3 linked regions of the Xenopus tropicalis genome follow. The protein of the gene in region 1 purifies or fractionates together with the protein of each later gene. This does not show direct contact. Links are inferred from orthologs where the notes say so. Each region holds a gene or a part of one and is shown on either strand. Other genes may lie near its edges. The genes, in order: fgf11, ube2o and sirt1.

Region 1 (4,348 bases):
CTACACACTGTGCCAATTGGCCCAGTCCCAGTGCCCGACACTCACTCCTCATAGAAATGTCCGCTGCCGGCGGCGCAGTGTTTGGGCTGGAACCACTGGCACGGAACCAGCGTCAGTCATGGGAATTCACCCCCAGCTGTCTGTAAGGGTTTATATTGGGGGGCACATGGGGGGGGCTCCTATAATATATAACAGGGTATCCCCTTTATTCCTATACTGGGCCAGGTGGGGTTCATTGATGGGAGTGTAACTGAGTGAGTAAGTGGGTAGGTGTGTAGGGGTGAGTGAGTGTATGTATGAGTGAGTGAGTGTATTGGTGAGTGTATGAGTGAGTGTATGAGTGAGTGAGTGTATGGGTGAGTGTATGAGTGAGTGTATGGGTGAGTGTATGAGTGAGTGAGTGTATGGGTGAGTGTATGAGTGAGTGGGTGAGTGTATAGGTGGGTGGGTGAGTGTATGGGTGGGTGAGTGTATGGGTGGGTGTATGGATGAGTATGAGTGAGTGGGTGAGTGTATAGGTGGGTGAGTGTATGGGTGGGTGTATGGATGAGTATGAGTGAGTGGGTGAGTGTATAGGTGGGTGAGTGTATGGGTGGGTGGGTGTATGGGTGAGTGAGTATGAGTGAGTGGGTGAGTGTATGGGTGGGTGTATGGGTGAGTGAGTATGAGTGAGTGAGTGTATGGGTGAGTGTATGGGTGGGTGAGTGTATGGGTGGGTGGGTGTATGGGTGAGTGAGTATGAGTGAGTGAGTGTATGGGTGAGTGTATGGGTGGGTGGGTGTATGGGTGAGTGAGTATGAGTGAGTGAGTGTATGGGTGAGTGTATGGGTGGGTGAGTGTATGGGTGGGTGAGTGAGTGTATGGGTGAGTGTATGGGTGGGTGAGTGTATGGGTGGGTGGGTGTATGGGTGAGTGAGTATGAGTGAGTGAGTGTATGGGTGAGTGTATGGGTGGGTGAGTGTATGGGTGAGTGAGTATGAGTGAGTGGGTGAGTGTATGGGTGGGTGGGTGTATGGGTGAGTGAGTATGAGTGTATGGGTGAGTGTATGGGTGGGTGGGTGTATGGGTGAGTGAGTGTATGGGTGAGTGTATGGTGGGTGAGTGTATGGGTGGGTGGGTGTATGGGTGAGTGTATGGGTGGGTGAGTGTATGGTGGGTGGGGTATGGGTGAGTGAGTATGAGTGAGTGAGTGTATGGGTGGGTGAGTGTATGGGTGGGTGGGTGTATGGGTGAGTGAGTATGAGTGAGTGAGTGTATGGGTGAGTGTATGGGTGGGTGAGTGTATGGGTGGGTGGGTGTATGGGTGAGTGAGTATGAGTGAGTGGGTGAGTGTATGGGTGGGTGGGGTGTATGGGTGAGTGAGTATGAGTGAGTGAGTGTATGGGTGGGTGAGTGTATGGGTGGGTGGGTGTATGGGTGAGTGAGTATGAGTGAGTGGGTGAGTGTATGGGTGGGTGGGTGTGTAAGTGGGTCGGGGGGTGGGTACATGAGTGTTGCAGAGGGAAACAAGGTGCCCCCCCCACACACTGATTGGAATCTCCTGGCTCTCACACACGCCCGACTGTCAGACTGCCCCCCCCATACATTTGGCGGCTGCCAGTTGCACAGAGGAGGGAGGCGGAGAGAGGGCTGGGGGGGCCCAGGGAGCGTTGAGGAAAGGGAGAGGCTCCCCCACACACACACTGACAGGATAACGGGACTGGAACTCCGGGGGACAAGGTCCTGCTAGAGCCCACGATGGATCCGTTGGACCCCCCTAACCAGGAGGCAAATTAGTGGGACAGAGCCCCCCACTCTTTCCCTTGGGCTCAGTCACTGGGGGGGGGATGTGGGCTGCGCATAGGGAGCTGCTGTAGGGGCCACACGGGCTGCGCAGGGGATGGCCGCCTTGGCAAGCTCTCTGATTCGCCAGAAGCGAGAGGTGAGGGAATCGGTTGGACCTCGCCCCGTGCCCCCCCAAAGGAAAGTCTGCCCCCGAGGAACCAAGTCTCTGTGTCAGAAACAACTTCTCATCCTGGTCTCCAAGGTCCGGCTCTGTGGGGCCCAACTAGGGACACAAGAGAAGGACTCCGGTGAGTGCTGGGGCTTAGTGAGTGAGTGTTGTCTGTGAGTGTGAGTGAGTGCAAGTTACTGGAACCTCCTGCTGTACTTCCCCCCATTCACACCTAATTTCTAGGTCACCACCCCTCCATGACAGACCCCCAATCCTCCGCTCCTCCGTTACTGACCCCCCAACTTACTGTTACTGCACAGTTACCCTTTGCTGCTTTCCCATCATCCCCAGTGGTTCTTTGCTCAACCAACACCTTCCGTTGTGCCACTCGCTTTGTGCCATCGGCTTCTCTGTGCCACTCAGTGTCCCTGCTTCTCCCCTGCTGTCCCTCCCCCACCCCAAGAAGTGCCATTGCCTCTCCCCCTCGGGCTGCCCCTTCCATCCCCCCCCCCCCCCCCAGCGCTGTCTGTATAATGGATTGAAGTGCTCGCTCCCATGGGATCTAAACATGAAAGAAAGGAGGTCACGGGCATTCGGAAGGAGAAAGAGACAGAATGATTAAAAAGTTCTAGAGGGAGAAGAGGAAAAGGGTTGTGATTGTATTGAAGGGGTTAAGGTACGAGCATTAATATCCCTCTCCCCGCCCCCCCCCCCCCCCATCTTCCTATGTTTTACCCCCTTTCCCTCCAATCCGTCCCATAGAGCCTCAGCTGAAAGGCATTATCACTCGCTTGCTCAGTAGAGTTGGATTTTATCTTCAACTTCTCCCAGATGGAACCATCCAAGGTTCAAAAGAAGAGGGAAACCCATACAGTGAGTATAAACCAAGACCAAACTCAACTCAAACACATGGAGCTTCTCATTCTTTTAGCCTGTTCTCACAGACATAGACCAGAGAGGTTGGTCACAATCTCAATATTAGAACAACCTAGACTAAACCCAACGGGTTGATCATCTCATCTTCTACACTGCAGCATGATGGTCTGTTGAGACCCACCTAGAGCCAGAAAAGAGGCGCTGTTCAGAATATCTAATTGAAAGCCAAAGGGGGTAACAATGACCTAGAACCACCTAGACTTAGAGGTAGATATAGACATGAAAGGTTGGCCACAATCTTCAATATTCAAAAGTCAATATTAGAACAACCTAAACTGTACTCAACAGGCTGGTCATCTGATCTCCTGCACTCCAGTATGGGGGCTCGACAATAGAGGTAGACATGAGAGGTTGGTCACAATCTTCGAAAGTCAGTATTAGAACAACCTAGACTAAACCCAGGGGGTTGGTCATCTGATTTTCTACAATTCAATGGGGGCTTGTTAAGAACCACTTGAAATCAGAAAAGAGGCCCTGTTCATAAAATCCAGGTGAAAACCCAAGGAGGTCACAATCTCCTAGAACCACCTCGACTTAGAGGTAGACATAGACATTAAAGGTGGGTCACAATCTCCTAAAGTCAATATTAGAACAACCTAGACTTTACTTACCGGGTTGGTCATCTCACCACCTGCACTCCAGTATGGGGGCTCGACAAGAACCACCTAGAGTCAGAAAATCTAATTGAAACCCCCAGGGGGGGTCACAATGTCCTAGAACCACCTAGACTTAAAGGTAGACATGAGAGGTTGGTCACAATCTTCGAAAGTCAATATTAGAACAACCTCGACTAAACCCAGGGGGTTGGTCATATGATCTGCTACACTCCAGTATGGGGGCTTGTAAAGAACCACCTACAGTCAGAAAAGAAGTCCTGTTCAGAAAATCTAATTGAAACCCCAGGGGGTTACAAGGTCCTAGAACCATCTAGATTTAAAGTGGCCATACATGGGCAGATTTCAGCTCCCAATTTGAGTCCTTCAGGCTGATTTGGCAGCTTATCTGCCCGTGTATGTGCACCCCCAATGGTTCTACCTGACCAATATCTGGCCTAAAATTGGGCAGGTATGATTTTACCATTGGATCAGGAAATGCATCAGTAGATGTGGCCCGATGACCCATATACGTGCCATTTTAATGAGAACATTTGGCCCTAGGGCCAAACAATTGAATTAGCACTGTGGGTGGGCATATCGACAGACGATCCACTCATATGCCCACCTCACCAAACAAGCAGATCATAGGTGTATGGCCACCTTTAGAGGTAGACATGAGAGGTTGGTCACGATGTTCAAGTCAATATTAGAGTAACCTAGACTAAACCAAAGGGGTTGGTTATCTCATCTCCTGGTCTTATGGTCATCTCAGGTATGGGGCTTGTTAAGAACCACCGTTCATTAAATCTAATTGAAACCCCCAAGGGGGGCTGCGATGTCCTACCCTGAAGAGCAATAGTCTGGTGCCAACCATGTAGATACA
Region 2 (3,649 bases), on another chromosome or scaffold:
GACCTTTACTCTTGGTGACTTCTGTTGCCATTTCATTGTGCCCATTGTGCCCCACTCATGAGTTTCCACCTGAAGTCCTTTCCCCCCATACTGTATAGGAAGCTCTCATATACGGTATGGGGGGGGGGGGGCAGTGTGTACCCTAGCTATCCCAATTCCAACCTCACCAGGCCATCCGGCTAATTACCCCCCCACCTGCTCCAAGATACCCCAAGGGGGTGCCCTACCCTAGTGTGGAGCCGTGGCGCTTGCCGTGCTGGACCCTGTAGTGCACTCATGAATAATTACTTTAGCTCATGAATAAGTAATGATTTAGTGGCGACACGGAAGGTCGAAGGTCGGGACCGCCCATGCAGGCGGCACCCGGTGCTTCAGGGAAACGTCTCCCACCCCTTATAGTTTATTTCTGGTGCTTGTAGCCGGTTAATCTCCTGGTAGAGCGCCCGTTTCCTGCTCAGTGTGTGATGCTTACGTATATGTGCGTGTAACACGCGTGTGCGTTCATTCTCCCCCCCGCGTTACAGGTGCAAGTCACTGAATTACGAGTTACTTGGATCACAAAAAGCTTTTGTCTCGGCGGCACCGATTCCATGGACCCCCCACCCGCTGTGATTACTCAGGAGAACCTGTCTAGGTGAGTCCAACCTGAGCCAATGGGGTGGGAGTTTCCAGTGCACCCAAACTGTTCCTCCACTAGAGGGCGATATGGGCAACTCCATGAGCTGCTGTTCTGTTTCCCCTCAGAGTGAAACGACTGGGCTCCTTCGACCACACGCAGAGGCAGCTGGGAGAGCGCTGTCTGTACATCTTCCCCACTAAGGTGGAACCCACCAAAATTCTGTGTGAAAGTCTCGAGAAGAACTGCCTGCTGGGGGAGGTCACCGTCACCAGGAAGGTAGGGCCACTGAAGGCTGCAGAGGTAGCGGCCCAAGCAAAGGGTATTAGCTGGCACTGGCATGGGGGGGTTGTTTATCATGGTAGGAGATGTAACACCTGATTTTCTGTCTCACCATTGGTCCATACACAGCAGGTGGAAAAGCTACGGGAGAAGCAGATAGTCAAGATAATCTCATGTACCCAGGATCCCTCCAACCCTACTGAACTCCTCAAAAAAAACTCCACAGTGCCCCCGTCGTATGAAATACCCACAGCAAGGGCAACCGAGGAAGATCTTGTCTCTGCCAAGCTGGAAGGGGAACCCCCCGAGGAACCGAACGTTCCGGAGTGCCCAACCAAAGAGCAGCCTTTGGGCACCTTCCGGGAAATATTCCAGGGCCTCCAGCTGCATTCCTCGGAACAGGACGCCGACGATGAAGCCGCAGGGGATACCGACGAGACCAGCTCGGTGACTTCCTCGGCCAGTTCTACGGCTTCTTCCCAAAGTGGCAGCGGCGCTGGGCGCAAGAAGAGCATCCCCCTGTCCATCCGGAACCTCAAGAGGAAACATAAGAAGAAGAAAAAGAGCAAAGTATACAGAGAGTTCAAACATGGCGACAGGTTGGTATTAGTAATGGACCCTCCCAGAGTGCCAAGCAAAGGGCAGCTATGTAGCTGCAGCGCCCCCTCTGGTCGTTTTACATTGTCATCTATGGCTGTCCCTGCAGGGTGGCTGTCGAGGTTATAACCACTGTGACCACGGCTGACGTTATGTGGCAAGATGGGAGCGTTGAGACCAACATCCGCTCTAATGAACTGGTACCGATCCAGCATCTGGATAACAACGAGTTCTGCCCCGGGGACTTTGTAGTCGACAAGAGAGGTCAGTAATGTTAGATGCACAGAGACAGAGCAAGGGGCATACGGGCAGATGAGTGGGGCAGAGACAGAGCAGGGGGCATATGGGCAGATGAGTGGGGCAGAGACAGAGCAGGGGCATACGCGCAGATGAGTGGGGCAGAGACAGAGCGAGGGGGCATATGGGCAGATGAGTGGGGCAGAGACAGAGCAGGGGGCATATGGGCAGATGAGTGGGGCAGAGACAGAGCGAGGGGCATATGGGCAGATGAGTGGGGCAGAGACAGAGCAGGGGGCATACGGGCAGATGAATGGGGCAGAGACAGAGCAGGGGGCATACGGGCAGATGAGTGGGGCAGAGACAGAGCAGGGGGCATACGGGCAGATGAGTGGGGCAGAGACAGAGCAGGGGGCATATGGGCAGATGAGTGGGGCAGAGACAGAGCAGGGGGCATACAGGCAGATGAATGGGACAGAGTGAGGGGGGGCAGAGACGGAGTGAGGGGCAGAGACGGAGTGAGGGGCAGAGACGGAGTGAGGGGCAGAGACGGAGTGAGGGGCAGAGACGGAGTGAGGGGCAGAGACGGAGTGAGGGGCAGATGAGTGGGGAGAGTGAGGGGCAAATAACAGTAAATATGTGGGTTTAAGACAAACAGATTTACAGAATGACGCTCTCCGGTTCATCTGAAATAGCCTTTTCCTTCTCTCTCCCCCAACAGCCCACGCTGCCCAGGACCCCAGTATATACGGAGTGGTGCAGTCTGGGGATCACACGGGCCGTACTTGTGTGGTAAAATGGATCAAGCTGAATTTGAATGGGGACGATACGGAGGTGAGTTACGGAATCGCTGTGACCCGACATGTCCCTTCCCTGAGCCAGAACTATATTTTATGGACCGTACGGCACGGGGTTCTGTTATTTCTTTGTGTTCAAAGGTTTTTGTCGATTTACTGATTAGTGGCCGTCCTGCTTCTCTGGGCTGTGCTGGGCCCGCCATGTTGGGCAGGGGTGCAAGACTGTTAGCCGGGTGATACTGTGTGCCCCATCATGCTCTGCTTCAGCCATACACACAAACATGTCTCTTACTGTTTCTCAGCTTGTTGGGGAAGAGGAGGATGTCAGTGTGTATGACATTGTTGACCATCCAGATTTCCGATTCCGAGCCACAGACATAGTGATCCGCATTGGCAACTCTGATCCAGAAGCCTTTCCTGATGCCAGCCAGGTGGGAACTTTTTATTCCAGATGCCGTTACCGGTGGCTGTTACATTTATTTAAGGTGATTAAACCCCCTTTCCCTGTTTTGCAGCCGTCGGTGGGGCAGGTGGCTCGGGTGGACGTGAGCAGCAAAGTCGAAGTGATCTGGGCTGATAATTCCCGGACTATTGTCCTCCCACAGGTAAGTGTGTTGTATAAATATTGGGGCCCACCCCATCTCTGATGTCACAAAGGGGGAGGGGTGTAGCAGGCACACACCCACTGATAGGGGCTGATGGTAGAGGAAGTGGGGAAGGAGGGTGGAAGGAAGAACTCATACTCGCCCTGTGGATATTGGGTCCTGTGGATACTGGGTCCTGTGGGTTACAGGCCGCATTCTCTGTTCTGGAGACTGCTGCACCTACAAATTGTTTCCTTTTGACTCCCCAGCATCTGTATAACGTGGAATCCGAACTGGAGGAATCCTTTTATGACTCCGTGGACAGCAGCTCCAGCGGCGCCTCGTCTGATGAATGGGAGGATGAGAGCGACAGCTGGGAAACGGACAACGGGCTGACGGAAGATGAAATCCCTCGGGCGGCGGGGGGGGAGGAGGCGGCGGCTTCACAGAATGAGACCGCCCCCGCAGAGCCGATGCAGGAACCGGCGCAAGACGAGGCGGAACAGAGCGCTGCATTGGCTGCGGCCGCGGATCTG
Region 3 (3,649 bases), on another chromosome or scaffold:
CCCCTAACAATTCAATCTAAAGTCAGTTAAAAAGGTTACCTTTATCTTTAGAACATAGCAGTGTACTTTTGTAGCAGACCCCCATATCACCATGTGCTTCCATTTTCTTGGGCTTCTGTGATGCCACAACCAAGGTGATGCTACACATAAACTAGTGCCGCCACATGTGAGTGCTACAGTTAGCACTAAGGCATATATAATAATGGACCTATGCTGAATATACAGTTTCCTGTACATGTTGAATATACAGTATATGCTGAGGGGTAATTACCCAGATCAACAAATAAGAAATCTGTTTTAAACAAGTGACTTTATTGTTTACAGGCTTTAGCAGGCCGTGATTTACCTTTCAGCTTTTCTGAAGATATAGCATTGTGTTTGAAATAAAAATATATACTACATTTCATTTTGTTTTTGCATCTTTTATAGGATCATTTGCTGAAGCATCTTGTCTTGTATGTAAATACAAAGTTGACTGTGAAGCTGTTAGAGAGGACATATTTAATCAGGTAACACACTGATTTATTGCATTAATCAGAAATACATTTTTTTAATGAGATTTATTTATTAAGTTTAAAATTATACAGTACAGGTATCGGACCCCTTATCCGGAAACCCGTTATCCAGAAAGCTCCGAATTACGGAATGCCCGTCTCCCATAGAGTCCATTTTAATCAAATAATTCAGAATTTTAAAACTGATTTCCTTTTTCTATGTATAAATAAAACAGAACCTTGTAATTGAATCCAACTAAGATATAATTAATCCTTATTGGATGCAAAACAATCCTATTGGGTTTAATTAATGTTTTATTGATTTGTTAGTAGACTTAAGGTACTGAGATCCAAATTACGGAAAAACCCCTTATCCGGAATACCCTTGGTCCCGAGCATTCTGGATAATGGGTCCTATACCTGTACAGCATTTCCACCCAAACACAACTTATGCTTTTTAAAAAGTAAACATACTTTCAAACAACTTTGCAGGATACATCAATTAAAAAAATATTGCAGCCTTTTCATTTGTAACGTAATAATCTGGTTTGGAACTTTTACCTAAGCATGGCCCCCTATTTTCCTGCTGATCCGGCTGACTACTTTGAGGTTAAAATAAAATATAACAGAAGATGACTGTCCTTAGCCTGCTTTCTGCCTGCATCCTCCACATCCCACCATTCCCTGCACAGATTATGTCAATAAGGAAAGGAACATCACAGTGCAATGCATTGTGGGTATGTAGTTCCTGAATGCTGTCTGTAAGCATCAATGTTTTAGTCCCTCCTCCCTGGGCAGGATTTCAAATGATGCAGAAAGAGAAGAACTGTTGGGTTTTTAGCTTATTAAATGGTATTTATTTATACTTTTTGAAGGAACAGTTTACAGTGATAGGTGTATTAGGGGTTTCTGTGGTGTGTGGGGCGCTTTAACAAATTTAGCCACAGTTTCCCTTTAATGAGTAAATGGCTTTTGGCATAGGCTTATAATGCAATGCTACCCCTTCCTCATCTTGTTTCATTGTGGCGCTATGGATTCTGGGATTTGAGGTCCCCCTGCTTTCTATAAAGGATGGTGCACAGTTCTCTGGTAAGGTGAGGTTGGGGTTTCATTGCCTTATAAGTCTAAGAGGGAAAATTTTGGAGTATGGTATGTCTGTTAAAAAATAAATGTATATTTATTTTTACCAGTTAAGATATTGTTTATGTGCTATTTTTTTTTTTTTTTTTATAATGTAAGCCAACTGACTGAGCTCATCAGAAAGGAGGTTATATTAACACTTAAAGCATTTCAGCAATGGGGGAAGCAACCAATAAATAGCCATTGGGATATCTGTTTAACTGACTTATATTGGCACCTCTCAAAAAAATGTAATGCAGCAGAATGTTGAGCTTATGGAGTAAAAAAAAACTCAACTATTTACTATGTGAATCAGTAGTGACAGTTCTTTTTGTCCACTTGCTACCAATTCCACAGCAGTACACAAGTTAATAAATAGCACCAGTAGAACACAAAAGTTATTTAAAAAGTCTTAAACAATTGCTTTCTAGTAGAAGATATATAGGTGTTAACTTATTAGAAGATACCTTTAAATGGCCGCCCCCAGCCTAGGTTCATCCTCTACCCTGGGCTAGCTAAATAACAAGTCTTTCTAGTTTCCTCTCATTTTGTGTTACATAAGAGATCTGAATTTCATATTTGTTTTGCTCGGTCACAGCCAACCTATTATTTTTTGTTTTTTAACTCCTAGTTAAGACTGCAGTATTCTGCCAATTATACTGTAAATGTGAATGTACCTTTCCTTATAATGTATCATTGATCTTGGAAGAGGTTCGCTTTGACTCAAGTCTGGATCTAGAGTTCTAGTGGTAAAAGATTTGTATTTGTGCCAGCAAGCTGGTAGTAGGAACAAGTGCAAAGAAATGCACTCACTTATGCAAGCCAATAAAGCAGCAGTAATGTCTGTTATTCCACTGTTTTACACAACTTGTTGTCTGCATTACTTGACTGCAGTGAGTGCATTGTGATTTGCTAAAAATAGGTCGGCATATCCATGGCAATATTTTATTATTCTATGTCTCTACTGGAACAGTTGGGCTTTTGTAGCTATTTGCAACTTGCTGTTACAGAAGTTCATATTTTTGTCAACAGTTACATTTTTGTTTTGCATACAGATAGTTCCAAGGTGCCCAAGGTGTTCATCTGATGAGCCTCTTGCCATCATGAAACCGGACATTGTATTTTTCGGTGAAAACTTGCCAGAACAGTTTCACAGAGCTATGAAATATGACAAAAACGAGGTTGATCTTCTTATTGTTATTGGATCTTCCCTGAAAGTCAGGCCAGTAGCATTAATACCAAGTATGTATTTTATTTTATTAAAAACTATTAATCAAATATTGAGTGTATAATAGTTTTCAAGAAAATGCCATTATTGTACCTGCAAATTGTAAGTCCTGCAAAAATCAGTCACATAGGAACAGAGTGACTTCAGTTTGTAGGTCAGGTGGGTTGTTTTTAAGCCCATTTAAGCAGCCCTTGAAATGTGAAGCTTACATTTCTGTTTAAAATCTACATCAGCCTCCATGTGGTCTATATTTGTTATAAAACTAGCCATATGAATCTGTGGTAATTGTACCACCAGGTAAAAGATCACATTGGCTACAGACCTTGCTGTGTGCTAGTCTTGTTGAATGGATAGATTTTATCTTATGTGATAAGTTGTATTTTTGTTTTGTTCTGCATTTACTTTTCTGTATATTTTTAAACAGATAATCTTTTCAGTATTTCTGCAATTACCTTGTATTCCCCATAACTGGAGAAGTGTATTTATGTTTTGAAGGGATACTGTATCCACACCTGGCTTGTAGACCATGCTTACCCATACTTATTTATCATAAGAGAAAGGTGTCACTGACAAGAAAGCATAGGATATCAAAATGGAGCAATGATCCAAACAAGGCAAAAATGCAAGCAGAGTTAGTACACCTTTTTAAAGCTTGGGATGCCCCATAACACTTACTGTTTATAATTTATTTATATTAATATATATTATATTTATAATGACCCACCAAAAACAGATACATTTTGTTTTAAATAATTATTGGCCAGTGTATACACACATTTGCAACCTAAGCATTACAAAGACTATATGA

Evidence for each region.
Region 2: the proteins of fgf11 (region 1) and ube2o purify together in Homo sapiens (affinity purification with mass spectrometry; 3 studies listed by BioGRID and IntAct, with this or other methods). This does not show direct contact. The link is inferred for Xenopus tropicalis from reciprocal best matches to the Homo sapiens genes FGF11 and UBE2O.
Region 3: the proteins of fgf11 (region 1) and sirt1 purify together in Homo sapiens (affinity purification with mass spectrometry; 3 studies listed by BioGRID and IntAct, with this or other methods). This does not show direct contact. The link is inferred for Xenopus tropicalis from reciprocal best matches to the Homo sapiens genes FGF11 and SIRT1.

Annotation. Positions count from the first base shown.
Region 1 is NC_030679.2:152,810,071-152,814,418, forward strand, and holds the start of fgf11 (fibroblast growth factor 11), read left to right. Parts: upstream 1-1,493; 5' UTR 1,494-1,879; coding exon 1,880-2,072; intron 2,073-2,695; coding exon 2,696-2,806; intron 2,807-4,348.
Region 2 is NC_030686.2:45,261,607-45,265,255, reverse strand, and holds part of ube2o ((E3-independent) E2 ubiquitin-conjugating enzyme), read left to right. Parts: intron 1-524; coding exon 525-634; intron 635-744; coding exon 745-895; intron 896-1,015; coding exon 1,016-1,497; intron 1,498-1,604; coding exon 1,605-1,759; intron 1,760-2,453; coding exon 2,454-2,566; intron 2,567-2,831; coding exon 2,832-2,960; intron 2,961-3,044; coding exon 3,045-3,134; intron 3,135-3,382; coding exon 3,383-3,649. UniProt on the Homo sapiens protein: E2/E3 hybrid ubiquitin-protein ligase that displays both E2 and E3 ligase activities and mediates monoubiquitination of target proteins. Negatively regulates TRAF6-mediated NF-kappa-B activation independently of its E2 activity.
Region 3 is NC_030683.2:38,247,647-38,251,295, forward strand, and holds part of sirt1 (NAD-dependent protein deacetylase sirtuin-1), read left to right. Parts: intron 1-429; coding exon 430-509; intron 510-2,668; coding exon 2,669-2,855; intron 2,856-3,649. UniProt on the Homo sapiens protein: NAD-dependent protein deacetylase that links transcriptional regulation directly to intracellular energetics and participates in the coordination of several separated cellular functions such as cell cycle, response to DNA damage, metabolism, apoptosis and autophagy.